Alligator mississippiensis: one gene and its partners. The protein of the gene in region 3 interacts with the protein of the main gene of each other region in a biochemical or structural test. Links are inferred from orthologs where the notes say so. Each region holds a gene or a part of one and is shown on either strand. Other genes may lie near its edges. The genes, in order: MAPK7, KLHL20, protein PML-like and HIPK2.

Region 1 (7,295 bases), on a different chromosome or scaffold from region 3:
GGCGTGGCTCCGCCTCTGGCCCCGCCCCCTGCACCACCGCCTCTGTGAGGGGACAGCACATGGGAGAGAGCGGGTCAGGAGCAGCTCCTGGCCCCACCCCCCAGGCCTCCCGGCACCCAGCCCCACCCACCTCGCCCGCGGTGCCTCTGCGCTGACTTGAGCAGCACGGCCTTGAGCGCCGCCTTGGTGTCGTCCGAGATGGCACCCTCCCGCTTGGGGGGCAGGGCTACTGTCGGCTCCGCCTTCACCTCCCCCGGGGCTTGGGCAAGGGCTGGGCCCGCCCTCGGTGACTCCATGGTGCAGTCTGTCCCGGCCAGCATCTTGGCCTTGGCATCAGGGGCCTGCGGGAGCTCAGCAGCCATGTTGACATGGGCAGCCAGGGTGGCGCTGGCGGCCATTTTGGCATCAGCCATCTTGACATGCGCGGCTATGTTGACATCACCCACCCTATTGGGTTTGGCAGCCATATTGAGGTCAGCCATGTTGATGGCAGCCATGTTGACACTGGCTCCTCTATTAACGTTGGCAGCCATGCTGATGTCACCCATGTTGACGGCGGCCATGTTAACGCTGGTCCCTGTGTTGCTGTTGGTGGCCATATTGATGTCAGCCATATTGACGGTGGCCACATTAACGTTGGCAGCCATGTCAGCACCAGTCCCCCTGTTAGTACTGGTGGCCATATTGACGTCAGCCATGTTGATGGTGGCATTAGCCATACTGGTGCTGGCCATGTTGGCTCTGCCGGCCATATTGGCATCGGCCATGTTGATGTCAGCCATATGGGCACCGCTCGCACTGATGTCATTGCCCGGCGGCGTCGGATACACCACAGGCCTCAGCGCGGGCTTGGCTGTGAGCCTCCGCCGTGCCCGAAAGTCCTCGATCTCGGCCAAAATGGCAGCCTCCACCTCCTCTTTGGTGAGCACCTCGCGGTCGAAAGCAAAGTCGAAGGCTGGCACACACTCGGGCTCATCCTCAGGGTCATGGTACTTGGCAAGGTAGGGGTGGGCCAGCGCGTCCACCACCGTGATGCGCCGAGCTGGGTCCAGTTGCAGCATGCGGGCCAGGAGGTCGAGCGCCGGCGCCTCAGCCTGCGGGTAGAGTGCGTGCAGCGGCACAGCCTGGCGCGGTGGCAGCCCCTGCACATAGCGCCGCACTCGCTCAGCGCCGATGGCACCCACCACCTTGGCCGAGGGCGTCCCCAGGACCCCCAGGATGAGTTGCAGCTGGTGCAGATAGTTCTTGCCAGGGAAGAGCTGGCGCCGGCCCATCATCTCGGCGAAGATGCAGCCGACCGACCAGACGTCAATGGCCTGGGTGTAGTGATGCAGCGAGAGCAGCAGCTCGGGTGCGCGGTACCAGCGCGTGGCCACGTACTCTGTCATGAAGGCGGCGTGCTCCTCAGGTCGTGCCGCCAGGCCCCGCGCCATGCCGAAGTCGCCGATCTTCAGCTCGCAGGTGGCGTTGACCAGCAGGTTGCTGGGCTTGAGGTCGCGATGCAGCACGTGGGCGGAGTGCACGTACTTCAGCCCCCGCAGCAGCTGGTACAGGAAGTAGCGCACGTGCTCGGGTGTCAGCGCCTGCCCCGACTGGATGATCTGGTGCAGGTCGCTCTCCATCAGGTCCAGCACCACATAGCTGCAGGCAGGAAAGGACCCAGGCGTCCGGGTGGGGCAAAGCTCCTTGGGGAGACCTGGCCAGGGCCAGAGGACCCAGGGGTCTGGCTCCCAGCCTCCTCACCCCACCCTAGAGGACCTAGGGGCCTGGATTCCCATAATGCCCCGATGCCACCCCCCACACCCAAGAGCTCAGGCATCCAGGCCCCAACACCCCTGGTCTCAGCCCCGCACCCCAGGGAACCGAGGCGTCCAGGCCTCTGGCCCACAGCGGGCGCGGGTGCCTGGGCGGCGGGGGCCATACACGGCGCGGAAGTCAGGGCGGGGCCCGGGCGGCGTGAGGATGTCCTTGATGGCGATGATGTTGTCGTGGTTGAAGTGCTTCAGGATCTTGAGCTCCCGCAGGGTCCTCTTGGCGCTCGTCACCACCGCGAAGGCGTTCGGGATCTTCTTGATGGCCACCTGCTGCCCTGTGGGGAGGGGGGCGTGGGACCCAGGCGTCTGGGGGTAGCGAGGTGCCCGGGGGGGGGCCCCAGGCATCAGGCGGAGGGGACGCAGGGACCCAGGCGCGGGGTGGGTCCCGGGTGCTCGGCAGAGGGACGGGGGTACCTGTGGCGCGGCGGCGGGCGGAGCTGACCACGCCGTAGGCGCCCGTGCCGATGGTCTCGATGACCTCGTAGTCGTCGCCCACCTCGAAGGTGACGTCGAGCGAGCGCTCCCGCAGCAGCGCCAGCCCCGCCCCCGCCCGGGTGCCCGCGTCGCCCGCCGCCTCCGCCATCGTGCCTGAGGGGAGGGTGGCTCAGTGCGGGCGGGGCTGCGACGGGAGGCAAGTGGGGGGCCCAGGTGTCCAGGAGGGGCGGGGCCAGGGGAGGGGGCGGGGCCAGGATCCCAGGGGAGGGGCAGGCCCAGAAGACCGGGGCGTCCGAGGGCCGGGGTGGGGCTCAGGTGTCCGAGGGTGGGGGGGATGATGTGGGCACCCCAGGCGCCCGCGGGGGCGGGGCTGGTCTCCATGGCGACGCTCACCCGCTCCCCGTCCTGCTGCCGCCGCCGCTACCCGGGGCCCCGCCCCCGCGGGCCCCGCCCCAGCCAATCAGGGTGCGGCCCGCGGTGTAGAACGGGACTTCCGCCAGGGGGCCAATGGCAACACACCCCGGCCCCCGGAGGTCCCGCCTCTTCCGCCAATCAGGCCCCTCCTTTCCGGCGGTGACGGCCAATCGGGGCCAAGGGAGCAGCGCGGCGTGGGTGCGGGGGGATTAAAAGGGCCGAGGCGCAGGGAGGGATCCTAGGCCTCCGGCAGCTGCGACATCGCTGCTACGTCATCAGCAGCCGACACCTGCCTGCCACCCCTGGGGGACCCCCCGCGCCGCCTGCGGTCCTTGCCCCGCCCCCTCCCGCGTCACGCGACCGCGCCGCCCAGCGCCCCGCCCCCGCGCCCCACGACGCCGGCACGGAGCGAGCCACCGCCGCGCTGCCGTCAGCAGGACTTTAATGAGGAGACACGAGCGCACCGCACCGCACCGCCCGCCACCGCCGCGCTGCTGCTGGAGGCTCCCCGGGAGCTCGCACGGAGGTCGAAGGACACAGGTCCTCGGCCCGGTGCCCTCGCCCGCCGCCGCCACTCTGCCCCGCGCCGCCGCCGCGCCCCGTCAGGCTCGCCACGCGCAGAGCGGAGCGGGGCGGCGACCCAGGCGGCTCTCCCCGCCCCGCCCCGCCCCGCCGTCCTGTCCCGGGCGCTGGCGGTGGTGGTGGCAGTGCACAGGGCGGGCGACAGGAGCACGCGGCGCCGTGCGGCGTCTCTACCGGCCCGGCCCCGTCTCCCCTCCGCGTCCTACCCCTACTTGCCCCACGGCCTACTCTGCCCCCCCAGCTACCCTCCCCTGCCCTCCGGCGGGGCACACCCCCGCCCGCCCGCCCGCCCGGCCCGGCGCCCTCACGGCCCGTCCCCCACGTGGTTCCTTAGGTGCCGCAGCAGCACGGAGTCCTCCCGCAGGCGCTTCCGCCCCGCGCCGGCCCCTCGCGGCCCCGGCCCCTGGCCCCCGCCCTGGGCACGGGGCTCTGGAGCCGGGTCCCCTCCGTCGTCCCCGAAGGCGGTGGAGACGGCGAGGCAAGGGTCGTGACCCGGGAAGCTCTCGCGGCGCCGGAGGGCGGCCATCTTGGCGGGGCGGGCAGCCATCTTGGGGGTCTCCCGCCGTGCCCCGGTGCTACCGAGCCGCTGGCGGATGTGGTCGCGCTGGTGCTGAGTCAGCGCCGCGATGTCCCCGAAGGTCCGGGAGCAGTCAGGGCAGGAGAAGAGCTTCTCGCGCATGTGGCCGATGTGGTGGCGCGCCAGGTCCGCCGCGTCGCGGCACAGCTCCCCGCACCCGGGGCACGGCGCAGGGGCCCCCCCGGGCTCCCGGCGTGGGGGCGGGGGCAGGAGGTCTGCAAACGTCCCCTCTAAGAGCTCCTGGGGTCGGCTCCCCCTGTCCTCGACCTCTCCGGGCACCGGGGATCCTACCATCGTGGGCAGCCAGCACGACGCTGGTGCTGTCAGTCGGTCTCCAAAGCTTTCCCCACATCCATCGCAGATGAGGCCACATTGGTCAGGGCTTGATGGGCTTCCAGGTTGGGCCTGCCGGGCTTCCCCAGCTGCCACAAGAGCCCCTGCTTGCCCCCTCTCCAAGGGGCAAGACTTGGGAGCGTCCAGATGTTGTGTCAACGTTGCGTGGTCTCCAAAAGTCTCCCCGCATGCGTTGCAAATGAGACTGGATTGGATCTTCGGAGCTTGGTCGGGCCCCACGGGACTATCCGATTGGGCCTGGCTGGACCCCAATGGGCTCTCTGACTGGGGCCCTGGTGTGGCCTGGCAAGACTCATGAATGTCCAGGTGTTGCGTCAACGTTGAGTGGTCTCCACCGGTCCCTCCGTCGCTGGGCTGGAGGTCGTGGCCTTCCCGTGACCTCCGGGGACCCCTTGATTGGATCTTCTGGACCTCGCTGACCCCACAGGGACCTCCCGGTTGGATCTGGCTGGACTCCACGGCATCACCGGGCAGGATCTCCTGGACTTCCCCCGACTCCTGGACAGCCCCAGGTGGGATCTCCCGGTCCCGATCAGGGCCCGGCCTCTCCCGGCAATCCTGGTGGGTATCCAGGTGCCGTGTCAACGCCACCTGGTCCCCAAAGCTCTGCCCGCACCCGCCACAGATGAGCACGGCTGGCGCCTCGTCGTCCTCTTCCTCCACCGCCTCGCCGTGCTGCCCACGGCGGTGCTGGCGCAGCTCCTCAGGCCGGGCAAAGCGGTCGCCACAGGACCGGCAGACGTGGGGCCGCTCCTCCATGTGGATGCGCTCGTGGGTGATGAGGTTGGAGCTCTGGGAGAAGCGCTTGCCGCACTCGCGGCACCGGTACGGTTTCTCGCCCGTGTGCGTGCGGCGGTGCTGGACCAGGTGGGAGCTGCGCACAAAGCTCTTCCCGCAGTCGGGGCACTGGTAGGGCTTCTCCCCCGTGTGGATGCGCTGGTGCCGGATGAGGGTGGAGCTCATGCCGAAGGCCTTGCCGCAGTCCCCGCAGCGGTATGGCTTCTCCCCGCGGTGGATGCGGAGGTGCAGGGTGAGGTTGGAGGCCAGGCTGAAGCTCTGTCCACATTCGGCACAGGCGTGGGGCCGGGCCTCCGTGTGGCTGCGCTGGTGCCGGGCCAGAGCCGAGCTGAGCCCGAAGGTCTTGCGGCAGGTGGGGCACTGGTAGGGCTCCACCCCCATGTGCAGGCGCTGGTGCTTGACCAGCGTGGCGCTGTGCCCAAAGGACTTGCGGCACGTGGGGCACTCGTACGGCTTCTCGCCCGTGTGCGTGCGCTGGTGCTGGATGAGCTCCGAGCTCTGGATGAAGGTCTTGCCGCAGTCGCCACAGCGGAAGGGCTTCTCGCCGGCGTGGATCTTGCGGTGCTTCACCAGATTAGCGCTCTGCGTAAAGCCCTTGCCGCAGGTCGGGCACTTGAAGGGCCGCTCGCCCGAGTGCGTGGCCTGGTGCTGCAGCAGGTCCGAGCTGCGGTAGAAGCTCTTGGGGCAGGCGGCGCAGCGGTACGGCTTCTCGCCCGTGTGCGACCGCTGGTGCTGGTGGGGGGGGAGATGGGGGGGGTGTTCAGGTCGAGAATCCAGGCTCCCAGCGCCCCTGCTCCTGCCCCCCTGCACCCGAGAACCCAGGGGTCCGGGCTCCCTGCCCCCACCCCCCCACATATGGGCTCCCAGCCCCACTGGTCTCACCCCGCTCCCACCCCACAGAACCCAGGCATCCAGACTCCCAGCCCCACTGCTCCCCCCCAGATAACCTCAGTGCTGGGTCCTACGGATGTGACCCACACTCTCCGGGAAAGGCTGGCGGGTTGGGAGCCTGGCTCACCTGGAAGAGGCGGGGGTCAAAAGCCCGGACACCTGGGTCCCCCACAGGCCATCAGAGTGGAGCCCGCATGCCTGGGACCCCCCGGCCCAGCCCTACCTTGATGAGGTTGGTGCTCTGGCTGAAGGCCTTGCCGCAGTCACGGCACTGGTAGGGCTTCTCACCGGTGTGGGTGCGCAGGTGCTGGGCCAGGTTGGAGCTCCAGCTGAAGGCCTTGGCGCAATGGGCGCAGCGGTACGGCTTCTCGCCCGTGTGCGTGCGCCGGTGCTGGACCAGGTGCGAGCTCTGCGTGAAGCCCTTGCCGCAGTCGGGGCAGGTGTTGGGGCGCTCGCCCGTGTGCACCCGCCGGTGCCGCTGCAGCTTCGACCACTGCCCAAAGGCCTTGCCGCAGTCCCCGCACGCGAAGGGGCGCTCTCCCGGGCCCCGCCGTGACCCGGTGCCCGGGGCCGGGGGGGTGGGGGCGGCCACCGCGGGCCATGGCTCTGCAAGGGAGACAGGCACAGTCAGGGAGAAACGGAGGGAGACAAGGGCAGACAGAGAGGGACATCTAGTAGATGGAGACACATGCAGACAGACAGACAGGCAGCCTCTACACAAGCATTTACTGTGGAGTAAAGTGCTGCAGGTAGATACCGAAGAGCAAACTGCTGCAGGGTAAGCGGGGATAAGCTGGCATCTACACGGGCCTGTGTTAAAGCGTGTTAATGCCATGTCTGGACTGGCATGGGACTCAGGTTAGTCCCACATCAGTCCACACACACTACTGGGTTACTGCACAGTAAGGCGTCTACACGTGCGTTACTGTGCAGTCACAACTCGAGTGTCAATTTGATCCCTGTGTGATGCAGGGCTCACACTGCCGCCCACGTTGGTGTAAGTTGTCCGAGGCCCTGCGCAGTACGGGCGTGCGTGTGTGGTTGCACGCCTGCACTGCACGGTCGTTCTCGGTTACCAAAATTAAAGCGCAGTAAGTGTGGATGGATACACCTGCAGATGTGGAATAGGCGGATGGAGACAGAGGTGCAGAGAGACGGGCGGACGGACGTGTCGCGGGGGGAGACGCATCGAGACAGTGACATCGAATAGACGGACACCCAGAGAGGGACGGACAGACAGATGCAGAGAGACACGCAGGCGGAGACAGACGGACACGCTGCAGACGGGGGACGCCGAACGGATGGACACAGAGCGAGAGAGATGGCCGGGGAGACGGCGGGTGCGCGTGCAGACGGACAGAGGGCTCGGGCGGCGCGCGGAGCTGGACAGACAGAGCAGGCGGGGCCCCCGCCCCTTCCTTACCTGTGCC
Region 2 (7,758 bases), on a different chromosome or scaffold from region 3:
ATGGAAGAGATCTGGTCAGTTAGTTATTTGGTCAATCTGGAGAAAAACCTCACCATAAAAAAGTGTGTTTGACATTTGACTATAGATTCCAATTACATGCTGAGAGTTGTCTTCTACCTGTGGGTGGCAGTTGCATCTAGTACAATAGGCTGGGGATACAGCTGCAGGCTCATCCTGTGTCAAGGGTGTCTTCCATTGGCTAAACATTGTAGTGTTGCAATTCATGCAAGGGTCCCATTTTATCTAGTACTTTTGATTTCAGTTCTGAGTGTCACATAATTATGCTTTGTAACGCATTCAGACCTGTACCTTGAAACAGGCTATTTGGAGGCAGTGAGGGGCTCCTCATTGTCTAAAAGTTTTCCTGTGTCAGCAAAATGCTGAATGATTCCAGCAATGCCCATGTCGTATTGCAACATGCATTTATTAGTTTAAACTGAAACAGTGGCACTCACAAGCTTTTTGTTATGGTTGATGGGGTTCACATAAAACTCAATAAACCTCTGCAGAAGGGTACTGAGTTAATACCCCTTCCAATTCCCATTTGGAAGGGTTAGTAATGCAGTTGGTAATGCACCTTTTTCTATTTTAACATTACATGATTACCATTCTGCACATAACAGTCTCCCTCTGCCACCAGCTGATTTGATCCAACAAGTGTAGCCAGTACGTCAAGCTGAGTGATTTGCATAAATTTTCATTAGTCCCAATGGCTCTTTGACAGCTTTTGAAAGTCATTCACAACCATGCAAATATAGACAGGATGCCTCCAAATAGCCTGTTTCAAGGTACAGGTCTGAATGCGTTACAAAGCCTAATTATGTGACACTCAAAACTTAAATCAAAAGTACTAGATAAAATGGGACCCTTGCATGAATTGCAACACTACAATGTTTAGCCAATGGAAAACACCCTTGACACAGGAATGAGCCTGCCGCTGTATCCCCAGTCTATTGTACTAGATGCAACTGCCACCCACAGGTAGAAGACAACTCTCTCAGCATGTAATTGGAATCTATGGTCAAATGTCAAACTCAATGCACATCAAGGACATGATTAGAGTTATACATATGGCTAAATAGTTCACAGAACAGTTCATTCAGTATAATCAAAACACGCACGTAACTGGTCAAAAGTACCTTTTAAGCAAGGCAGCGAGCCAGTAAAAATGGGCAATTACAGTAACATTTAGCTTCTGTGCTTTTCCTTAAGAGCATATTCAAATGACACATGGTCTTGTGCTCTAAAAATAAATCAATGTCATTAACTCTTAAACACAACCAGCCTCCTTACTAGCTAGAGTATAAAAAGAAACATTTTACAGAGGGGCTACTGATGAAATCAACTCAATATGACGGACTACTGTGCTCTGGGTGGTGTGCTGAAGGAGTTCGGTGCCCAGGTGGTTTTCTCTTCCATCCTACCAGTGACCGGACGAGGAAGACGGCAGGAGAACTGCATCAGAGAGACCAACTGGCGGCTTCGGCAGTGGTGTCTCGAGGCAGGCTTCGGCTTCCTGGACAATGACCCGCACATCACGACGAGGGACATGCTCAGCTGGGATGGGCTTCATCTGTCCCCCAAAGGTAAGCGTGTGTTTTCTACTAGGTTGGCGGGTCTCCTCCGGCGGGCTTTAAACTAGGCTCGTCAGGGGGAGGGGAGTACGAGGGCAGGGGAAGCTGTGGACCACCAAACCATGTGGCACCCACAAGGACAGCCCAGCCTGAAGAAGGAGAACATTGGGAACCTGAAAGCCATGGGGAGGCCAGCACTACAGAACAGGTAAGAAACAAGAAGGTAAGAAACAATGGGCCCCTTGGGACTCGGAGCGGGGGGGCAGCAAAGGCACCAGTCGCAGGGCTCAAGTGCCTATATACTAATGCTAGGAGCATGGGGAACAAGCAGGATGAATTAGCGCTCCTGCTTGCACTAAACACCTATGACTTAGTGGGGCTAACAGAGACCTGGTGGGATTCATCCCATGACTGGGCGGTACATATTGAGGGCTACAGATTGTATAGAAAGGACAGGTCGGGGAAGAAAGGGGGGGGGGGGGGGGTTGCACTTTGTCAGTGAGCAATATACATCAACCCTCATCAAGACAGAATCCGAGGTTGAGGAAGTAGAAGGATTGTGGGTTAGGCTACATGGGGGGCAAGGAGAAAGGGATTTGGTGGTAGGGGTCTGCTACAGACCCCCACACCAAGGGGAAGAAATAGATGCGGGGCTCCTGAGGCAACTCTCGGAGACCATAAAAGCTAAAGAGGCGGTAGTCATGGGGGACCTAAACTACCCGGACATCTGCTGGGAGACGCAGACAGCAAGGTCCCATCGCTCACGCAGGTTTCTAACCTGTGTACAGGACCTCCACCTGACACAGGAGGTGCATGGTCCCACTAGGGGGAATGCCATACTGGATCTGATATTGGCAGCGGGAGATGACATGATAGGGGACCTCCAGATCGGTAGCCATTTGGGAGACAGTGATCACCTTATAATAGAATTCAACATAAGACGGCGAGTGGGTAAGGTAACTAGTAGGGTGAAAGTGCTAGACTTTAGGAAAGCTGATCTCAATGCACTCAGGCGATTAGTCAAGGAAGCACTGCAGAGTAGGAGTTTTGATGGGATGGGAGCCCAAGAAGGGTGGCTGTGCCTAAAGGAAACGATCCTTCGGGCACAAAGCAAGACGATCCCCGAGTGAGGCAAAAGAGGGAAAGGGGCCAGGAGGCTTCCATGGCTGACCAGAGAAATCCAGGGCAGCCTAAGGGCCAAAAGGGGAGCACATAAAAAGTGGAAACAGGGTGAGATCACTAAAGATGAATATACCTCCTCTGCTCGTGCTTGTAGGGAGGCAGTTAGGCGGGCCAAAGCTACCATGGAGCTGAGGATGGCAACCCAAGTAAAAGACAACAAGAAATTGTTTTTTAGATATATTGGGAGTAAAAGGAAGGCCCAGGGAGGAATAGGACCCCTGCTAAATGGGCAGAAACAATTGGTGACAGATAGGGGGGACAAAGCTGAACTCCTCAACGAGTTCTTTGCCTCAGTGTTCCTAAGTGAGGGGCACGACAAGTCTCTCACTGGGGTTGTAGAGAGGCAGCAGCAAGGCGCCGGACTTCCATACGTAGATCCTGAGGTGGTGCAGAGTCATTTGGAAGAACTGGATGCCTTTAAATCGGCAGGCCCAGATGCGCTCCATCCGAGGGTGCTGAAGGCACTGGCCGACATCATTGCAGAGCCACTGGTGGGAATATTCGAACGCTCGTGGCGCACGGGCCAAGTCCCAGAAGACTGGAAAAGGGCTAACGTGGTCCCCATTTTCAAGAAGGGGAGGAAGGAGGACCCGGGCAACTATAGGCCAGTCAGTCTCACCTCCATCCTTGGTAAAGTCTTTGAAAAAATTATCAAGGCTCACATTTGTGAGAGCCCGGCAGGGCAAATTATGCTGAGGGGAAACCAGCATGGGTTTGTGGCGGGCAGATCGTGCTTGACCAACCTAGTCTCTTTCTATGACCAGGTTACGAAACGCCTGGACACAGGAGGAGGGGTGGATGTCGTATACTTAGACTTCAGGAAGGCCTTCGATACGGTATCCCACCCCATACTGGTGAACAAGCTAAGAGGCTGTGATGTGGATGACTGCACAGTCCGGTGGGTGGCGAATTGGCTAGAGGGTCGCACCCAAACAGTCGTGGTAGATGGGTCGGTCTCAACCTGGAAGGGTGTGGGCAGTGGGGTCCCGCAGGGTTCGGTCCTTGGACCGATACTCTTTAATGTCTTCATCAGCGACTTGGACGAGGGAGTCAAATGTACTCTGTCCAAGTTTGCAGATGACACAAAGCTATGGGGAGAAGTGGACACGCCAGAGGGCAGGGAACAGCTGCAGGCAGACCTGGATAGGTTGCACAAGTGGGCAGAAAACAACAGGATGCAGTTCAACAAGGAGAAATGCAAAGTGCTGCACCTAGGGAGGAAAAATGTCCAGCACACCTACAGCCTAGGGAATGACCTGCTGGGTGGCACAGAGGTGGAAAGGGATCTTGGAGTCCTAGTGGACTCCAAGATGAACATGAGTCAGCAGTGTGACAAAGCCATCAGAAAAGCCAATGGCACTTTATCGTGCATCAGCAGATGCATGACGAATAGGTCCAGGGCGGTGATACTTCCCCTCTATAGGGCGCTGGTAAGACCACAGTTGGAGTACTGCGTGCAATTCTGGGCGCCACACTTCAGGAAGGATGCGGATAACCTGGAGAGGGTACAGAGAAGGGCAACTCGTATGGTCAAGGGCCTGCAGACCAAGCCCTACGAGAAGAGACTAGAGAAACTGGACCTTTTCAGCCTCCGCAAGAGAAGGTTGAGAGGCGACCTTGTGGCTGCCTATAAGTTCATCATGGGGGCACAGAAGGGAATTGGTGAGTATTTATTCACCAAGGCGCCCCCGGGGGTTACAAGAAACAATGGCCACAAGCTAGCAGAGAGCACATTTAGACTGGACATTAGGAAGAACTTCTTCACAGTTCGAGTGGCCAAGGTCTGGAATGGGCTCCCAAGGGAGGTGGTGCTCTCCCCTACCCTGGGGGTCTTCAAGAGGAGGTTAGACGAGTATCTAGCTGGGGTCATCTAGACCCAGCACTCTTTCCTGCTTATGCAGGGGGTCGGACTTGATGATCTATTGAGGTCCCTTCCGACCCTAACATCTATGAATCTATGAATCACCTGGCATATTCATAAAAGAATTATAGTTTTTTGTTCTGACCTTACCTGCGCATTGGCTTTCCGTCCATGCACCGTGAAGAGAAGCCTTCACCCGACAATTCAATTCCTGACCTAAGGAAACAGAAGTACAACATTCAAAAGTGAAAGTAAGTCCTACTTTCTCTATTTATAATGACTCTTCAAGAACAATGTAACTGACCACACCCAAATAATAAGATGATGGAGTCTTTCTCCAGCTAGGAAATTTACAGCGAGATAAACAATGTCTTGGTTGCAGAGAATAAGCCACAAGAAAACGTAAGCATCTTGCCAGCTATCAATTACAATATAGTTAGCATAGTGGCGATGATGTAGGCACGCACACACAAATTCAGTAACCTGCACATCTCCCTGGACATTTGAAAATACTTTCTTTTTTTTTTTTAAACCAAGGGAGGAAAGATTCTTTAGAAGAGTGGCATTTTCTCTCTCACTCCTCAGGATGTGCTACACTATATTTATTCTTCATACATATGAAATTACCAGAAATTTACACAAGTTTAGCAACTATTAAGCACCACAGCGCTCACCTAAAACTGCACTGGAGGGTCAGTATTTGTTCAAGATCAAAGTTTGCATCTAGGACCTAAAGACAGCTTTGCACCCTGCCCCCTTCCCTCCCCCCCAACTAAAAGCCATAATATAGTGATTGCCTCATAGACTTATATGAATTAAAGCTGCTTGATGCTGTTTCTTACTAATTCCACATAAGTGTACTTTTACTTGTTAACAGAAGTAATAGCTGCATATTCCTTGGACATCCAAGCACTGATTTCTAATTCTAGTGTGGAGTATATTTCTTTTTTCAGGGATTTAAAACTTGATTTTTTAAATAACTAAATAAAATGAAACACTGCTTTCTAACAGAACGTCCTTTAAATGCTGCATCCAACTAATTACATTCCTTTATTTTGCTATGTAAAAGTTTTATTTTCTATTCCCCTGTTGATATATCTCCCTGACATTCACAATAGATCTTTACAACAAGACAGAAACTGACAGATGGTAAAAACAGTGAAACTGGCATTATAAAAGCACTGCCAAATGAACAAAGGAAAAATAACAAAAACCCTGTTCAAAAACACTCCATTTTTTCAGTCCTAAGTGTTACTTGGAATTTCAGGAGGTATGATAAACTCCTTAGAGAAGTGAGGTTTTCATGCTTCTTTTCCAATAAAAACCATCAAGCCAATATCAAAACTAAGTTTTATCAAGACATCAGATATTCCCTTCTGTACTGCAGTGTTTCATTGCATCTCTCATCAACATCTGAACTCAAGATGTGACAGCAACCACACCAACATTTCGTAATTCTCTCACGTGTTCTTCCCAAGAAACACAAAGGACTCCACAAACAATTAGAGATACATGGCATTACTACAAGACAGGAAAAAGTAGAATTATACCTATCTATGAGACTGGGCAAGTTCTGGGTTTGAAACAAAACTTCTAAATTATAGTCTGGTGGTTAAGACAGAACCGGGACTCAAAAGATCTGGGCTCAATTCTTAGTTATGGTTCATCCTTCCAAGAGCCTTGGGCATAAGCCCTTTGCCTCTGCTCTTTCAGGGGGTAAAACTACCTCCCTTGCCCCTGCTAATGTTCAAGGCTTATTTTTTGTTACTTTTGGTTCAATATAAAATAGATTGCAAATGTGGATAAAACCTGCATGTGGGTAGACTGAAAAATGCATAGTGGGGTATTCCACTGACACATTATATGAATATATAGGCACAGCTGAATATTTTGCCTAGAAAAGCCACCTTGTTTCCAAGAAGACTTTCATTTTGCTACCTTCAGCATTGCAAGCTTATCAAGCTAGCTGGCAGTAGGCACCAACTTGCTAATAAATGCAACCAGTAAGAGATTTGGAACCTGTTCCCAAGATGTGTTCGGAGCTCGGCTCCCACTGACTTCAGCAGGAGGGGCAACGTTTGGTCCCTCCTAGGATTAAGTGTCATGGGAAGCACTGAAGGGCTTCCCAGAGTTACAAGGCTGGTAGCATCACGTCATGTCCTAACCGTGTACATTTAGATAAACGAGCATCTCCCCATTGACCCTCCAGCAAGACCCTGAATAGAAGCTGTTGGCTGCACCTTGCAGGCACTTTGCACAGGAAAAAGATGGGAGGCGAGGCCGCCACATTAGCTCATCAGCAACTGGAGCAGATGAATCCCCTTAAAAATACTGATTGAAAAAAAGAAAACAAGAATCCAGAGAGGGAACCTCTTGGCACGTGCTGCTCCTGCACCCCAGACTTGGGTCTTCAGCCCAATGAGACCATCAGGTCTCAGGTAGCCCCGTCTGCTGCCCAGCTCCCCTGGCTGTGACCCTGGCTCTGGGCGATGCACACATGCACAGGGATAGGCATGCACACACACAAGGGCACATGTAGGTGTACAGGCACACACACACATGGATACACACACACGCACAGGGATAGGCATGCACACACAAGGGCATATGTAGGTATGCAGGCACACACAGGGATAGGCATACACACACCCAAAAGCACACACAAACACACTAGTGTACACACACACACACAGAGGGATAGGCATGCACACATGAGCGCACATGTAGGTATACAGGCGCACACACGCAGCCGGGCCCGCCGGAGCCCCGGCCCGAGGGCAGCGCAGAGGCAGGGGGGCCCCGGCCGAGACGCAAGGCCGCAGCAGCCGCCGCCCGCCCCGCTGCCCCGGAGCGCTGCTCCATGCCCGGCCCGGCCGCGGCCGCCGAGCCGGGGGCTGGCAGTGGCGGGCGGCACTCACAGGTTGGCTCGGTGCCTCCTGCGGCTCCTGCTGCTGCTGCGGGTCCCGGAACCAGCGACCGCCGCCGCCTGTCTCCTCAACGGCAGGAAGCGTCCGCCCGCCCGGCCTTCCCCGTGGAACCGCGGCCGCCGGCCTCGCCGTTCCGCCTGCAAACCGCCCCCGCCCCGCCCCGCCCCGGGCCCTTCCCGGCGCTCAGACGCCCCGCGGGGCTCCGGACACCCCG
Region 3 (8,052 bases):
TTCAACAGGGAAAAGTGCTGGGTCCTGCATCTGGGTAAGAAGAACCATCACCATAACTATAGGATAGGTTGCAGCCCACCGGATAGCACAGCTTCTGAATGGGACCTGGGGGTCACAATTTACTGGAAGATGAATATGAGCCAACAGTGTGATGAAGTCGCCAGCAGGGCAAACGCTAGAACTTTAGTGTGCATCAGCCAGTGCATTGCCAGCAGATCCAGAGGGGTGCTTCTCCCTCTCTACTCATCATTGGTTAGACCGAGGCTGGAGTACTGTGCCCTGTTTTGGGCACCGCACTTCAGGAAGGATGCGGATAATCTTGAGAGGGTGCAGAGAAGGGCCACCCTCACGATCAGGGGCCTGGAGGATAGGCCATATGAGGAGAGACTCTGGGAACTAGGCTTGTTCAGTCTGAGTAAAAGGAGGCTCAGAGGTGACTTGATAGCTACCTACAAGTATATCAAGGGGGAGCACCAAGATCTGGGGGAGGAACTCTTTAGAATGAGACCCTTGGGAGGATGAGGACCAATGGACACAAACTAACAGAGGGAGGATTTAGACTGGACATAAGAAAGAACTTCTTCTCTGTCAGGGTAACTAGAACCTGGAACACACTCCTGGCAGAGGTGGTACAGTTGCCATCCTTGGAGGTGTTCAAGAGGAGGCTGGATAAGCACCTCATTGAGCTAGTTTGAGCTCAACCTCCTGCCTACGGCAGGGGACCTGATTTGATGATCTTCCAGGTCCCTTTTGGTCCATTGTTTCTATGATTCTATGTTGCAACTATTCCTGCCATATATGACTGGAGAAAAAGTATCCCAGGTTGGGAATGTTACCTTAGAATCTGAGCCTCGTGCACTTCGCAGAACAAGTTATAGCGCTTCTGGGCACCCTCAAGAAACTCCGCGAGAGATCCGGCCTGAAGATCCTTCACATTCCTGGCCTCATGGCTCTCCTTCTTCAGGACCCTCTGATGGAAATTAAAGCACGTGAGACACATAAACATCTCACAGTCTGAGCACCAGAACTCCCCCTCTGTTTTGCAGTTGCCACACCCTAAGTCTATGCCCATGACTATTTTTTGATAGGTTTTCATCTGGGACTGCAGCCTGGCATACAGTACGTTGTCCTGGTCTGGAATCTCACTAGGTTGCAAGATAGGAGCCTGGCAGATGGGGCACTGGCCCATGGGCTTGTTCTCTTCCAGACAGTCAATGCATAAGGTGTGAAGGCAGGAAAGGAGCTTGGGCTCTCTGGATTGATTCCGGCATCCATCACAGAGCAGAAACTGGAACTCTTCCTCCACCACCTTTAGGGAGAAGAAAGGGACAGAGATACCTGGCATTAATCATACTATGATATTATCCCAATGGGAGATGACCATTGGGCAAGGAGAAAGAGGTGTTGCTAGTGCTGCTAGAAGGTCATTTGATGGATACCAAGCAATAGAAACATCTGGAAAGGCCCAATGTAGCAAGCCAAAGCTAGCTTGACTGGGGAGTCCAGTGGCTGAGGGAAACCCTGGTTGTGAGAGTCTGTAGCTAGTCCTTCCCACCACTGCTTGGGAGGTAGAGGCATGTAAAGAGCATGATGGAGCAGACTACTGGCTGGGCACAAGCATGAGGGTGTAGGACACAGGGCATGTCTACACATGCTGATTTAAAGCATTTTAGCCCAATTTAAGGCAGATTAAAAGTGCACATCTACATGTGCAGGCCCTCAATGCACCTTAAAAATGGCATTTTTAGGCTATTCATGCCTAAGTTTGATATGTGCAAAAGCCGGTATTAAATTTAGGCATGAATAGCTAAAGTGCATTAATGCACATGTAGATGTGTTAAGGCACACTAACACTGCACACAGACTGACTTGGAACTAACTTTACTATGAATAGTGAGGAACTATGAGTAAGCACACACGGAGTTAATGCGCTGTAACACATGCATGCGTAAAAGTGAGACTAAATCACCTTAATGAATGTTAAATTTCGGCATGCCTAAATGCATGTGTAGACATGCCCAGAACCCCTGCCATCTACACTTTCCCTCTCCCTCGCCGCTCGCCACAGGCTCACCACATTGTTTCTCCCCCAAGCTTTCCCAAACAAGCTGCCAGTCCCCAGTCTTCATCCCATCCATAGTGCACAGGCCCCTTTCTTTGTCTCTGCACCATACTGCCTCTTTCCTCACAAGGGGCTCTGAGGGGTGAGTCCGAGCTGAAAGCCCTATCGCACCCAGCCTCAGGCCACCTCCCTAAAGAACTTCCACAGATCCCCCCATTACTACCGCATCCAAGAATGTCTCATGGACACTGATTGATTCATCTTTACAGAGCCCCTATCAGGTAGGGAACCATTTGTCCCATTGTTTGCCAGGGGAACAGAGGCCCAGATATACCGAGTGGCTTGCCCAGAGCCATATCGGCTGTCTGTGGCAGTCACCAGAAGTGGGGCCAAGTTCTCCTGCCTCCTCCCCCTGCCCCGCGAGCTCCCAAAGCAGCCCTCCTCTCAACTACAGAGATTTGAAAAGGGACACAAAAAGGGCCCTGGGGCATCATTGAGGCAATTTCCTAGTCTGCGCTGCTATCTGCATGCTGGAGAGTTCACAGGGCTGTTGCCCAGTCACTACCTCCCTGCCACCTGGTTGTCTCTGCCTTCCCTGCTCCCTTCCATACTGGCTTCCCCCACACACTTCCTACAGCCATCTCTGCTGCCCAGGGGGCAGCCCTGCCACATCCCCTACCCCCAGTGTAATGGCACATGCTCTAGCCACAGCACCACCCACAGAAGGAGATGAGGCAGCCAGGTCCTAGGAGCTGTTCAGCCTCATATACCACTTATTTCCCCTCCGTCATTGTTGTACATTTAATCTACCAGCTTGATCCTTAACCCCAAGCAAGAGCCTCTAGCAGAAGGTCCGGTCACTGCGACAAACTTACAGGGGCTGAGGAATCCTGGTCAGCCGGAGGCTCCTGAGACGTGGCATCCATGATCTGCACTCGCAGTTTCCTCTGGGGCACCCAGATGCTTTCTGAGCTTGGTTGCAGCTCAGTTTTCTTTCCTCAAAAATGAAAGTAGCTTTGCTTCCGGGTATCAGGCAGACAGAGAGAAGAATCTGCGCTCCTGCCCTGCCCTCTGGTGATCAACCCCAGCTTTGATGTGTGATGCATCTGGCAGGGGAGGGGAGGATAGTCTGAAATCTTCCAGCCCTCCTGGGCATAAAGCTTGTCATACATTTTTCCTTCTGCCTCCTGGCCTCTCAAGGCACAAGGGAAGCCTGCACCAGCCCTGGATCTCTGTTTATCTTGAACAGCTCATTCAGAGGCTCAATGTGTTGCTCTGATTCTGCTCCAGATCCTGTTGGCAGAAAGTCTTCCTGGTAGAGAAGCAGAACAAGCTCCCCTTGGGGGCTGGTGACAGAGACAGCTCCAAGTGTGGGCAGACTCTACTACATCCTTGGCCAGTTCCCAATTTCCCCAACTGCAATAACCCCCAAGAGATGTTTTTACTAAGGTGGAACAGCAAAACATTTCAGACGTGTCTCTGACAGGGCATGAGGTGAGGGGTCTTGTGTAGGCGGCATAAACTAATGCCCCTTCGTGCAACAGGAAGGATGCAGTAGGGCAGGGCTGGATGCTAGGGGCCAGCTCCCTCCTCTCCAATCTGCTCTCCCAGGAAAGTGTTTCCATGGTCCTGTTTATTTCTGTGGATCCTGGATCCCCTCCTGCTAGCTCTTCTCTGGCCCCAAACTCACCACATTCTGGGTGACTTAAAAGGCAAACATACCCTGCCATGGTCTTGTAGCTGCCAGGAGCTTGGCTGTGAAGACTTGGAAGGGGCCAGGTGTTCAAGCCCATCAGCTAAGTGACTCTAGAGAATTAGGCAAGCCATTCCCCATTTGCCACAGCAGTGATGCAGGGTTCCCCATGAAACAGTCTGAAGTACTGCAAATGTTACCTCTGCCCCTCCCCAGGACTCTGCTTGACAAAGACCCATACAGTTTGCCCATCTGTCTAATGCCGCTGTTAAATTGTTGCCTTAAGCACCAGTCTGGTACACCCATTGAGGGGAAAATGCCAGCCCCTGCCCACTGTGTGCTCACAGGTATAAGGGACAGCAGGGTACAAGTCACGCATAAATGATATACCTGGTACTTTACACCTCACCTGAGGGCCCAAGAGACAGGGAGGCAATAGAGCTGTGCGCGGATGTATCGGAAGAGGGAGCTCTGCTGCCAGGTCACCATGCTTTTAAGGAACATGTCTACCCATTGCACAGTCAATGAGGCATAATCAGGATAGGCTTTATCTTCCTTTGAAGCATCATGTATAGGCAGAGGACAGACCCAGACTGTCTATCAATCCAGTTGGATAAGTCATTCTGTCACCTACTTACTTGCTTTGAAGGGCAACCAGCACTTATAGCACTTTGGCCTCCTTGATGATGTATCTCCATTCTCGTCTATCATGAGATATAACCTCCCAATCTTGTCCTACATCAAGTACCTTCAGGTTTCTTATGTTGTTGTCTGTCTAACATTGACAAGGCCTACCTCAAGGACCTCTTTTCTGTTGAGGTTTATAGATAATCCATCAATGCTGATCTCGTGAAGGAACACCTTGAGAGGCTGGACACCTTCAAGTTAGCCGGCCCTGACAATCTGCACCTCAGGGTACTCAAGGAGCTGGCTAGCATCATAGCTCAGCCCCTGGCACAGATCTTCAATAACTCCTGGTGCTCTGGTGAAGTACCTGACGATTGGAAGGCCAATGTGGTGCCTATCTTCAAGAAAGGGAGGAAAGTGAATCCAGCAAACTACATCAGCCTGACCTCTATCCCAGAGAAGGTCTTAGAAAAGATTATCAAAGAGGCCATTCTTAATGGACGGGCCGACAGCAACATCCTGAGGGATAGCCAGCATGGGTTTGTTGCAGGTAGGTCATGCTTGACCAATCTCATTTCCTTTTATGACCAGGTGACCTATCACCTGGACAAGGGAGAAGAGATTGATGTTGTATATCTTGACTTTAAAAAAGCCTTCAATCTGGTATCCCACGATCATCTCTTGGCAAAACTGGCCAACTGCGGTCTCGGGTCCACCATGATCCTCTGGCTGAAGAACTGGCTCCGTGGTCGGACCCAGAGGGTGGTGGTTGACAGAAGTCAATAGTCATGGTGCCCTGTGACCAGTGGGGTCCCTCAAGACTGTGTTCTTGGACCCACATTGTTCAACATCTTCATTAATGATGTGGACATTGGAGTCAGAAGTGGACTGGCCAAGTTCTCAGATGATACCAAACTCTGGGGTAAAGCATCCACACCTGAGGACAGGAGGGTGATCCAGGTTGACCTCAACAGGCTCAGGAAATGGGCAGATGTGAACCTGATGGTGTTTAACACCAAAAAATGCAAGGTCCTCCACCTTGGGAAGAAAAACCTGCAGCATGCTTATAGGCTCAGCAGTGCTGCGCTGGCTAGCACTATGGATGAAAGGGACTTGGGGGTCATGACTGACCACAAGATGAACATGAGCCTTCAATGTGATGCTGCGGCTAGTAAAGCAAGCAAAACACTGGCTTGCATCCATAGATGCTTCTCAAGCAAATCCCAGGATGTCATCCTCCCGTTGAACTGGGCCTTGGTGAGGCCGCAGCTGGAGTACTGCGTCCAGTTTTGGGTTCCACAATTCAAAAAGGATGTGGAGAAGTTTGAGAGTGCAGAGAAGAGCCACATGCATGATCAGAGGTCAGGAAAACAGACTGTAACAGGGGGCCTACTCAGGGCCGATCTCTGTGGCCCACCCACCTGTTCTTGGGCCAACCGCCCGCATTCTCACCCCCCACGCCTTGATGGTAATTGATTAATTAGTAGATGTTAGTTGAGCGGGAGGCTGCCCATTTACTGCCCCGATGCCAGGGGGCACTATCTGCAGCTCCTTTCCTCCCCTGCACCGCAGCCCAAGCCTCGCAGATGGCATCTAGATGTTCCTCTAATCACCAGCCCCCCCACTGGGCCCCAGAACCCTACTACTGAACCCACCTGGATTCCCCCCTTCAGGCGGACTCTTCTGCCATCATACCGGGCAGCACAGCTCCCTGAGCTGGTTCCCCTTCGGGTGTGGTCCCCCCCACCGAGACCTTCGGCTCATCTAGCCCTGGCCCACCTCCAGGCCAGTCGGGACTCTAGGCCCTCAGCTCTTGGGCATCCCTCAGGGTGGGCCCCTGGCCCTTTGACCCTTCCGGTCCTGGCCCCAGCATGGGACAGTCAGGGGAAACTCAGACAGGTCCTGAGTCAATGGCCCTTTCCTCTCTCCAAGGGTCCACCCTCTGGGCCCTCCAAAACAAGGGGTAACTCACCTGGTTGTGGGGGCTAGGGGTTAAGGTGCCCCAACCCACCTTTCACCAGGGTGGTAACTGGCCTGGCATTTCCTGGGGGCTCCCGCTCCACTGGGAACCCCACCAGGCCACCCACTCCCAGCAGGGTGCAGTTTTAAATCATACCCAGGACCAGGAGACTCCTAGCCATCCCCTACAGCTCCTCCCTTACCTCCAGTTGTAGCTCTGCAGCCCTCTGGCCAGGCGATGTTGTTGCCTGGCCTCTCACAGCAGAACTGCCTGCTTGTATGGGCAGCCCCTGATTCCAAAAATGGCTGCCCTCACCAGGCACCTGGTGGCTGCCAGCTCCAGGCCCTTGAAGTGACAGGCACACACAGTGCCCTGCCACACAGACCTTACGATGACAGGCTGAGAGCTATGGGACTCTTCAGTCTGGAAAAGCACAGGCTCAGGGGCAATCTGGTGGCCACCTATAAGTTTATAAGCAGTGTCCACCAGGATCTGGGGGGATGTTTGTTCACCAGAGCGCCCCAAGGGATAACAAGATCTAATGGTTATAAACTCCTGCAAGACTGTTTCAGACTGGACATAAGGAAAAACTTCTTTACTGTCTGAGCCCCCAAGGTCTGGAACAGCCTGCCATCAGAGGTTCAAGCACCTACTTTGAACGCCTTCAAGAGAAAATTGGAAGTTTATCTTGCTGGGATCCTATGACCCCAGCTGACTTCCTGCCCCTGGGGAAGGGGGCTGGACTTAATGATCTTCCGAGGTCCCTTCCAGCCTTAATGTCTATGAAATCTATGAAATAATTTTGATTTTTCTTGATTATGCTGTTATGTTCCTTTTTCTTTTAAAAACATCTCATGACCATTCAGCAATAGTGAAAAGGGCCTATAGGCGGGAGACAGATCCCTTAGGTTAGGTACAGCATAATAGTACTATTAAACTAGTGGTTCTCAAACTTTTTAGACTCAAGGCATCCCTTGATACATTTAAGGTGACACCCAGAAAATGTCACCTCTTCACATTCACTCTGCTTTTGATTACAGAAAAATACTAGAGCAGTTCTTCTCTTGTAAAGGATTTGGAAAAACCACAACAGACCAGAATGCTTTTAACACTCTGGATTCCTATTTGAAATCCCTGGGTTTATCTTGTGAGTCATATTTGTGCACCTAATAGTTAGGTGCAAACCAGCTAATATTCGCTTTGGATTCAGCCATTTCAGGAGACAGTAATTCGAATCATCGTCCCAAATCGATTTGACCAAATCACACAGGCCCACTCTCCCAGCCTGGCAACGGCTGCCCCGTCCAGCCCAGCTCTTGGCTTTGGAAAAAAAAAAAAGCCCCAACTCTGGGTGCTGCTGGGCAGGGGGCGATCCCCGCTGCCCACCACTGCCCCATGCTGCATGGGGGGCTCGGCATGAGTCCCCAGAAGCCCCGAGACCACTGCAGGAGCTGGTGAGTCTGGGGTGTTTTTTTCCTTAAAGGGCTGGAGCTAGGTCAGGTGGGGCAGCCATGGGGGGGCTCGGAGAGCAGGTGGAGGTCAGGGGACTCATAGCAGAGCCCACCCATGTAGTGTGGGGCAGTGGGGGGCAGCGGGCACCAGGACCTGGGGTAGGCAGGGCAGCCATTGGGGGGGGGGGGGCTGGGGAAGCAGGCAGGGGATGAGACCTGGCAGGGGTCCCCCCTCGTCCAGCCCCCCCTTCCCTGCCCC
Region 4 (8,013 bases), on a different chromosome or scaffold from region 3:
GCCCATTTTAAGGACAGGGGTGTATCCCTATGATGCAGAGATTGGATGTGTGACCCTCCCTGCTGTAGTGCTATTGCAGTTTGGTTCCAAACAATCCTCCTTTATCCTGAAGGCACAGTAACTTACAACTCATACTAAAAGCTTATGTGTGTCACCACCAGGTTTGATAAGAATCCTGTATTTTGGCTCCCACAAGGTTGAAGTCTATTCTTCCTGTATAATATTTCACAGTTAGAGAAGGTGCCGTGTGCTTTCCCAGAAAGAGCACTTAATGAAAAATATCGAGAAAGGATGCATCCCAAAGGAAGGAAGGTAAGAATTGTGTTCATACTGCCCTATGGGCCTACTTCATTAGTCCATCCTCATACCAAGGGCATGGAGATCTTCAAAAGGAGGCTGGACACACACCTTGCTGGGGGTTATTTGACCCCAGCAGTCTTTCCTGCCCAGAGCAGGGGGGCTGGACCCAATAATCTCATTAGGTCCCTCCCATCCCTAAACATCTGTGAATCTGTGAGCGAGACTTGAAGTGAAATGCACCAACTCTGGGGACCTGGAGGGAGCCATCATACAGCTGAGGTCAGAAATTAATCTGATCTTGGTTTGCCCCACCTTGCAGTGGACTTAAGAAAATCACTGCATAACCCAACCTGATTAGTCGTCTCTGCCTCGGATAGACTCAAGAACAGGAATAGCCAACTGTGGGATGCAGGTCAGGCCTAAGGTAAACTGGACTAGCTGTGCAGGTGGTCCAAGTCTGGAATAGAAAAGAACTGACCTGGCTCAGGACAGAAATATGCCAGCAGTATTACCATACATGAGGCCCCAAATCTGTGACATGGATGAGGATTCGGGGGCAGTGACACTGCTGGGAAGCATGGAGCCCAGGACTAGAAGAGCAGGGAGCAATGCAATTCTGGTCCAGCTGAGATGCAGGGCAGAGCAACCCCGTGAGATTAGCACTGAAAAAGAAAAGCTGGCTGAACCAGAGACACTTTTTATTTCCTTCTAAAAAGGCAAAACCTGTCCTTACAGTTCCTCATTCAACAGCAAGTTTCTTTTCTAAAACAGACCCAAATGTCCGGCAGAGGGCGCCTCCAGGAGGTATTTAAAGAGAAACATTGTTTCATTTCATTTCAACACTCCCAACAGTTCCAGCACTAACTGTGGCCCCTTTTTTACCAACACAATTTAATAATGAATATCCTTCTTTGCTTTGCAGGCTCTCGTTCCACAGATCCACTGTACGTCTTCTAATCAGTGCAAGTTGCAAAGGGGAAAAAAATAGCAATGGCTACATAAAACCCACATATTCTTCAGAACCAGGGAAGAAAAGATTGGAATAATATTTCTTTCTGTTGCCTCTAAAACAATCCCCTTTGTTTCTTTCTGAGTTCAAACTATTTTTTAGCCACACATTTTAAACCACCCAGACTCATCCTAGCCATCAATAGGCAGATCGGTAACTTTAGATCATCAAGAAAGCTGGTTCATTTAGGACACTTCAACTAATATTAGATATTCTTCTCCGATAAGTTTTATCAGCCTCCCTATCCAGATAAAAGTATTGTTCCCCCCATTCCTCTCTCCTTCCCAGACATTTAAATCCTCCCTTGCTACAAATCAATCACCAGGGCACGACTGAATGAAATAAAATAAAATAAAATAAAGCCGGGTGGATTTTTCTCTAGTTTATGTAATGCTCTTTAATCAATTCCAAACCAGAAAGGGTGACAGAAGGGGAAGGAAATAAATACAACGCTAGGTGATTTAAATGAAGCCAGATTTTTTTTTTCTTTTCCTTTCTTTTCACATGTATCCTAAATATGTTTACGGGTGTATTTTTTTTAAACACTGGGGAAACTAAGTGAGTTGACTTTTCATTTTCACTGCAACCCCCACCCACCTCCACCCTGGGGTTGATTTAACTGGAAACTGAAAGAACTGACAGCCTGGTGCAAGAAATCCCCCCCCTCTTCCCCCCCTTGACATTTATACCTACAGCCACACAGGTTTTTTTTAACCATGAAAAAAAAATCAAGTTGATCAGCAAAACAGCCAGAAAAAAAATCATCATCATAATAATAATAAAAGAAAAGCAAACGCCTCTTGGAGATTATGCAAAAGGAACGGGGTGTTCGGAGCTGGGAATTAAACTACATTTCACACACGCAGCGCAGAGGAGACACACACAGAGCAATCGCAGGGCAATCTTAGTCTCTATTTCATTGTTCTGCTCGGCTCTGAAATGGACTTTTCCACCCCTTCCCTTCCCCACCAAGGACCAAGATGGGCAAAAGAAAGAAAGAAAGAAGCAGGGACAGAGACACCCCATGAAAGAGGGGTCAGGAGATATATAGATTTTTTTTTTTCATCATATGGGGAGGGGAAAGGGGAGCAAATCTCACCCATCGGCAGGGCTCTTTGGGGCTTAAAAAAAGCAGGGCCAGACAGACAGCTCCTGCTCTGGGATCTGTGGTCATTTGGGGGTGGCTGGGTTTTGTGTTTTTTTTTTCTGGTGAGAGGTGGCTGGAAAGAGATGTCCAAAGGACAGGGCTGGGGGTGGGGGGAGGCGGAGGGCACGCGAGCCCTTACCTTCGTACATGGGGGCCATCGGTGCGAGGATGTCTGTAATGCATGGCAACCACACCGGCGATGAAGCGAGATCGCAGCCCCCCAAACTCAGTACCCATCTGCCATCTTGAGCCTGTGTCTCTCCGTAGAGCCGAAGCTGCCAGCCTCCTGCATCACTGCCTCACTTCAGCGCGGGGGCCGGCAGAAACATCCAGCCTTGCTCCTGTCCATCTAACAAAAACGCCGCCGCCGCCGCCGCAAAGGAAGGGGCTGGGAGGGGAGGGGAGGGGGGCGGCGATGCACAGTGGACAGGTCAAGGGTTGGGGGGGGAGGTGGCTAGAGGGCCCCCAGGTTTGGGCCCGTGGGGGTGGGGCAGGGGGGACTGCGCCGATCCCCCCTCAGCTCTCAGCTCAACATGTCTGCGCGCCTTGGGGGTGTCTGCAAAAGTTGCACGGGAGGCAGGAGAGCGAGCGAGACGGAGGCAGCGAGAGAGGAGGAAAAGAAAAAAAATAAAAAAAAAAAAAAAAGCCAAGGGAGTTTGCAAATAATCAAGCACCGATGGCACGGATCGCAGTTTCCCAGAAGGACAGGGAGGGGTGGGGGGAAGCGAGAGAGGGGGAGAGAGAAACCCTCTGCTGAGATTATGTGGGATCGTGTTTAACAACACATTTCAATCAGGAGAAAAAAGGAACAGTCAACAGAAGTTGGTGAAGCGGCTCTGTCTCTGCCTCTCTACAGAACAGAAAGAAGAAAAAAAGGAAAAAAAAAAACAACACCCACCCAGCTGATTGAAGCTTTGCCATTCACTGGCTGTGGGGATCATAAGCATTTGAGCTGATGTTTTACAATCGCATGGAAAATTCCTACCCCCCCCCCCAATACATCTCCGAGTCCCTCCAGGCATTTCACAATCTGTTTTGCTGACAAAAGTTCCAGTCCCCCCCCCCCCTTTTCTTTCCATTTAGGTTGCTCGCAGTGTAAATATTTAGAGGATACATTTAAAATAAACATACATGGCTGCTTCCAGGATTTTTCCTGTTTTTCTTTTTCTTTTTTTGAAAGAACTACATCAAATGAGTGTTTACTTATTGGGATTGACAGGCGGTGACCCTCCCCCTGTTTTCGTTTTAACAGCTCCATCTCTTTCACCCAGCTATTGCTGTGGAAATGCCAATCCTATCATAATAATTTGTCTTCAGCACCTTGACATGTGCCTTTTATTTTCCACAGCAGCTTTCATCCAATGATCTCTCAAAGGGAGAGGAAATAACTATATACCCATTCTACCGATGGGGAAACTGAGAGATGGACAGGCTATGTCATAGCAAAGGGAGGGGGGAAAAAATCCACATGCTAATAAGCATTTACCCATTCTGCCGATGGGGAAACTGAGAGATGGGCAGGCTAGGTGATAGCAAAGGAAGAAAAAAAAATCCACATGCTAGGGCCCCGGTCCTGCACTCCATGTGGGTCTGTTGGCTCAGAGCTCATGGCAAAGCCTAGGACTGGACTTTCCAAAGAGCTTAGTACCTGACAGCTCCTATTTAGACAGCCAGCATTAAAGGCTGGGCAACTGTATTTACATGCCTACATGAAAGCTGAGCTCCTTTGACAATCTACTCTCTGGACTCTGTTTCTGGAGTCTCTATTTCCAGACCAAGGCTCTGGACATCACAGCTCCCAATTTTGTAAATCATACGCCCTGTTATTTTAATTTTGTAATTCTCTGCTTATATTATAATCAAAGGTCCCTTCTTTGGCTAAACTACTAGTAATCATAATCTAAGTCCACCTCTGCTGCCGTCTCCCTGTTGTCTGCCTAGAACATCTATATGGGGAGGTGGGGGGTAGTTTTCAGGGTGGTTGAAACAACAAGGAATGATTAGAAGATGGCAGAAGAGAAAGGGTGAGGAAAGGTGAGGGAAATGGCTTTTTTTCCTGGCTCTGCATCTCATTGCTGGGTGACTTCAGGTAAACTGGGTGAACAAATGCCTCAGTTTTCTCATCTGTAAAATGGGAGGAGGCATGGGAGTGGTGAGAAAGTGGGAAGGACTCTTTCTTTGTCTGTTTCATGAAGAACATTTTTGCAGCCCTGCATTTCGGTGTGATTTTTATTTTGACTGAAGGCAACATGACACATTAAGTTAAAAAAAAGGGGATTTTTAAAAATATTTCTTCTTTTGCCAGGGGATTTTCAAGACTCTGAAGTGAATTTCATTTTGACTTAGGAGTGGAAATGGCACCTTCAGAACTCTCCCTCAGAGAGCCACTAGCTAGATGTGAAGCAGAGTCAGGAGACAATCAGCTCCAGAGACACGTATATCATATACATGCACGCAGACTTTATAATGTCTCACTTTAAGGCATAAACCAGTCTCTAACTGTTAGAGATTACAATGAGACCTTCCTGGAGGGCAAGTGATCCCATATCTGTTGGAGAGAGGATCCTGGGCTCGATGGACTGCGGGTCTGACTCTGAATGGCAATTCCTACGTTCCTTTAGGATTTATTAACACTACCAGAATCACCAGACCTGATAGTCAGCTGGTGTAAACAGACACAGCTTTAGTAAAATCAATGGCACTATACACATGTACACCAGCTGCGGATAAACCCCCAGCATGTTTATGCATCATTGCAAAATGAGGTCATGGCTCAGGCATGTTTGTCCCAGTATGGGCAGAAAATAAATAACGTGTTCTGTCCACAGCTCAGGTCACCTCCTGGAGATGGCACACAAAGAAGGTTAATAGCATGTTGATGAGCAGGAGGAGGTAAATGCTACCCACTTATAATATAGACCGCCCCCCCCCCCCCCATGCAGAAGCCCCTTTATGGCTTCTTCATCTGCAAAGGATTCAGTGGATTTCAGGGAATAGGAGGGGTTAGCATAAGAGAAATGAGACCCTCAGCTCCCCTTAGGAGATAACACGACTCTCTTCCACACTGCGCAGCCATGCTGGGACCCATCCAATGATAGTATGGCTTCAGTGACCTCATCTATTATGGCTGTAGGCTCAGCATGAAAGAGGTTTCCACTCCCTTGATACCCCAGAGATCCACAAACTTGGAAGGGGACATGGATCCCCAGATCTGCAGCCCCAGAGCCCCTCCTACATGTCATGATGCATTTCTCTCCACTGTTGTCCCTTCCTACAGGTCTTCCACAGGAGAGGATGGCCCAGCATTTGTCAGAATGGCACATTTGAATGTGCTGTGTTATGCATTTTCATTCCTTTATTTCTCTGAGTTTACCCTAAATCCCCCTGTACTCTGGATGCTTTTTTATAAATGTAAAATATGCAGCATGCTAATAAAATCCACAGTATCTTCCTAGAACCTCAGGGACTGCCCAGACAATAGCATCATCAGCTTTGTCCACCATGAATCATAGGCAATAGAAGGAATTACTTAGGCTGGGAGAGGACAGATGGTCTTACAGTACTGGACTGTGACTCAGGAGATCCGGTTCAATTTCTAGCTGTACTGTACCAATCCCTGAGTGACCATAGGCAAGATACTCACCTCCCCATATGTAAATGGGGGTCATAGTATTTTCCTGATGTGTTTATTCCAACTGTAGGCTCAGTGCAACAAGAGCTGTTGCTTTATCTGCATGTATACAGTTCTTTCCACTGTGAGATGCTGATCACAACTGGGGCCTCTCAGTGCTACTAGAATGCAAATAATTATAGGTAATGAACTAAATATGCCAGAGATGCCAAAAAATGTTGTAACACATTTTTTGGGCAGCCATAAGTATTTCAAAACATGCTTATAGGTTTTCACTCATACACACTTGCATGTGAGCAGAACATGCTTATAGTGCAAATGAAGCAGTAGACTAGGAGGAGCAGCAGGATGCAGCCATTTGTGTTGCAGATGAGAAAGAGTGTGCCCAGCTGAGATCTGGATTTATTTCATTGGGGGGCCTCTGGTAGGGATGCTTAATAGGCCCCTTGTAAGGTTACAGTAGTCGACTGTAAGCCTACAGAAATATGACCTCAGGTATCTGACCCCTTGTGAGAAGCACCCCAAAGGTGTGTGACAGGTCACATGCTTCACTGCTAGAAGAGATGAGAATTATGAATGCCCACTTGAGACCAGGGGACAGCAGAAGGACAGTAACAGTGGAAGCTCAAAGCTGGATGAGATCTGGGACTGCCCCAGGTACAACAGCCACTTTGTTCTCATGAGTGTCTCTTTGGCTACTGTGGGGGAAAGAGGAGGCCACAGCCATATGGGAGAAGTTTGTCAGAGCCGGAGAGGACATGGCAGACCAGAAGAATGATTGTGTTCTCCAGGAGCTAGGCAACAGAGAAGAAGGATATGGGACCCATTAGCCAGAAGAGTTAACCTTTGACTTTTTGGAGCTCAGTTGCCAAAGTGCTAGTTTTATTTCTACAGGTGTGCATAGGTGATTTATCTTGGACAGTAGTTATCTTCAGATATGGATTATTAAAGGGTCTTTGAGCAGTGGATGAGGAAAGTGAAGGTCCCCCTCAAAGAACTGGCTAAAGGTGGTAGTGTATTCTATGGTTTCTTGTACGCATTAATGATGCTGTGATGTAGGCTGCTCTTCCTTTGCAATTTCATTTTAACACTGCCCTGGCATAGATATATGAAGGGAAAATGGAAAAAAAGTGTGGCATACTGAAGTACAGGCTTTCTCCTCTTTCTCCCAAAGAGACCTCAAGGAGGTTGGATGAATTCATTAGCAGGTTCTGAATTTCTCAGCTCACCCCCAGAGCAAAGGCCAGACAGGTAATTTTCTTACTTGGAAAGTTGCAGCTTCAAAAATGCAGTAATAGGAAACAGTAAAACATGTAAAAACATTAATATAGCAGCTTCTATAAATACAGTGGGTCTATGTCACATTTCCATCCAGGACCTTTTTACATACTTTTTTGGCTGTTAAAAGGAATTTAAAAGTAGCGTGCTGGGACCTTAGTATAACTGAGAATCAGGCCCCAAATCTGTTCAAGAAAGGGAAAACATTTTGTAAATGCTGAAGGTTTGCCTATGATATACACACAGCTGTTTTCTTTTTAAATGTAAATCATTGAAGGATTAGACAGTTTATATATATATATATATATATATATATATATATATATATATATATATATATAGGTAAGCATTAAAGGACTCTATTTCATTTGCAATGTGCAGTCAAGTATTTTTTTAAGTGAGTCAACTGCCATTTTTAATTTCTTTCCTCCTAATGCAGTCAGCTCACAGAATAGCAACTACTGCATGAAATGTATTGAGAGTGATTTTTCCATGTATAGAAGGATGTCTGCTCTTCATGCACTTGTGAGTGCCAAGGTACCCAGCTGTTTGTATCAATACCCTGTGCTCTCTGCTGAGCATTAGCAAGACAACTGGCACATGCTACATTAGTGGCATCATCAGGGGAAAATCCTTCCATCCATGATT

What was found.
Region 1: the proteins of protein PML-like (region 3) and MAPK7 form a complex in vitro, tested with the Homo sapiens proteins (2 studies listed by BioGRID and IntAct, with this or other methods). The link is inferred for Alligator mississippiensis from reciprocal best matches to the Homo sapiens genes PML and MAPK7.
Region 2: the proteins of protein PML-like (region 3) and KLHL20 form a complex in vitro, tested with the Homo sapiens proteins (3 studies listed by BioGRID and IntAct, with this or other methods). The link is inferred for Alligator mississippiensis from reciprocal best matches to the Homo sapiens genes PML and KLHL20.
Region 4: of the proteins of protein PML-like (region 3) and HIPK2, one has a biochemical effect on the other in vitro, tested with the Homo sapiens proteins (2 studies listed by BioGRID). The link is inferred for Alligator mississippiensis from reciprocal best matches to the Homo sapiens genes PML and HIPK2.

Annotation. Positions count from the first base shown.
Region 1 is NC_081830.1:449,224-456,518, forward strand, and holds the start of MAPK7 (mitogen-activated protein kinase 7), read right to left. Parts: upstream 3,008-7,295; 5' UTR 2,643-3,007; exon of another isoform or gene 2,403-2,642; 5' UTR 2,398-2,402; coding exon 2,229-2,397; intron 2,090-2,228; coding exon 1,924-2,089; exon of another isoform or gene 1,922-1,923; coding exon of another isoform or gene 1,854-1,921; intron 1,642-1,853; coding exon 131-1,641; intron 43-130; coding exon 1-42. Other genes in the region: uncharacterized protein LOC106739355, read right to left, coding at 3,550-5,706, 6,089-6,471, 6,857-6,976, 7,289-7,295. UniProt on the Homo sapiens protein: Plays a role in various cellular processes such as proliferation, differentiation and cell survival. The upstream activator of MAPK7 is the MAPK kinase MAP2K5.
Region 2 is NC_081828.1:47,802,061-47,809,818, reverse strand, and holds the start of KLHL20 (kelch-like protein 20), read right to left. Parts: upstream 3,200-7,758; 5' UTR 3,126-3,199; coding exon 3,085-3,125; intron 1-3,084. UniProt on the Homo sapiens protein: Substrate-specific adapter of a BCR (BTB-CUL3-RBX1) E3 ubiquitin-protein ligase complex involved in interferon response and anterograde Golgi to endosome transport.
Region 3 is NC_081834.1:42,410,690-42,418,741, reverse strand, and holds the start of protein PML-like, read right to left. Parts: upstream 3,115-8,052; 5' UTR 2,989-3,114; coding exon 2,938-2,988; intron 1,310-2,937; coding exon 837-1,309; intron 1-836.
Region 4 is NC_081827.1:108,358,215-108,366,227, reverse strand, and holds the start of HIPK2 (homeodomain-interacting protein kinase 2), read right to left. Parts: upstream 3,067-8,013; 5' UTR 2,615-3,066; coding exon 2,596-2,614; intron 1-2,595.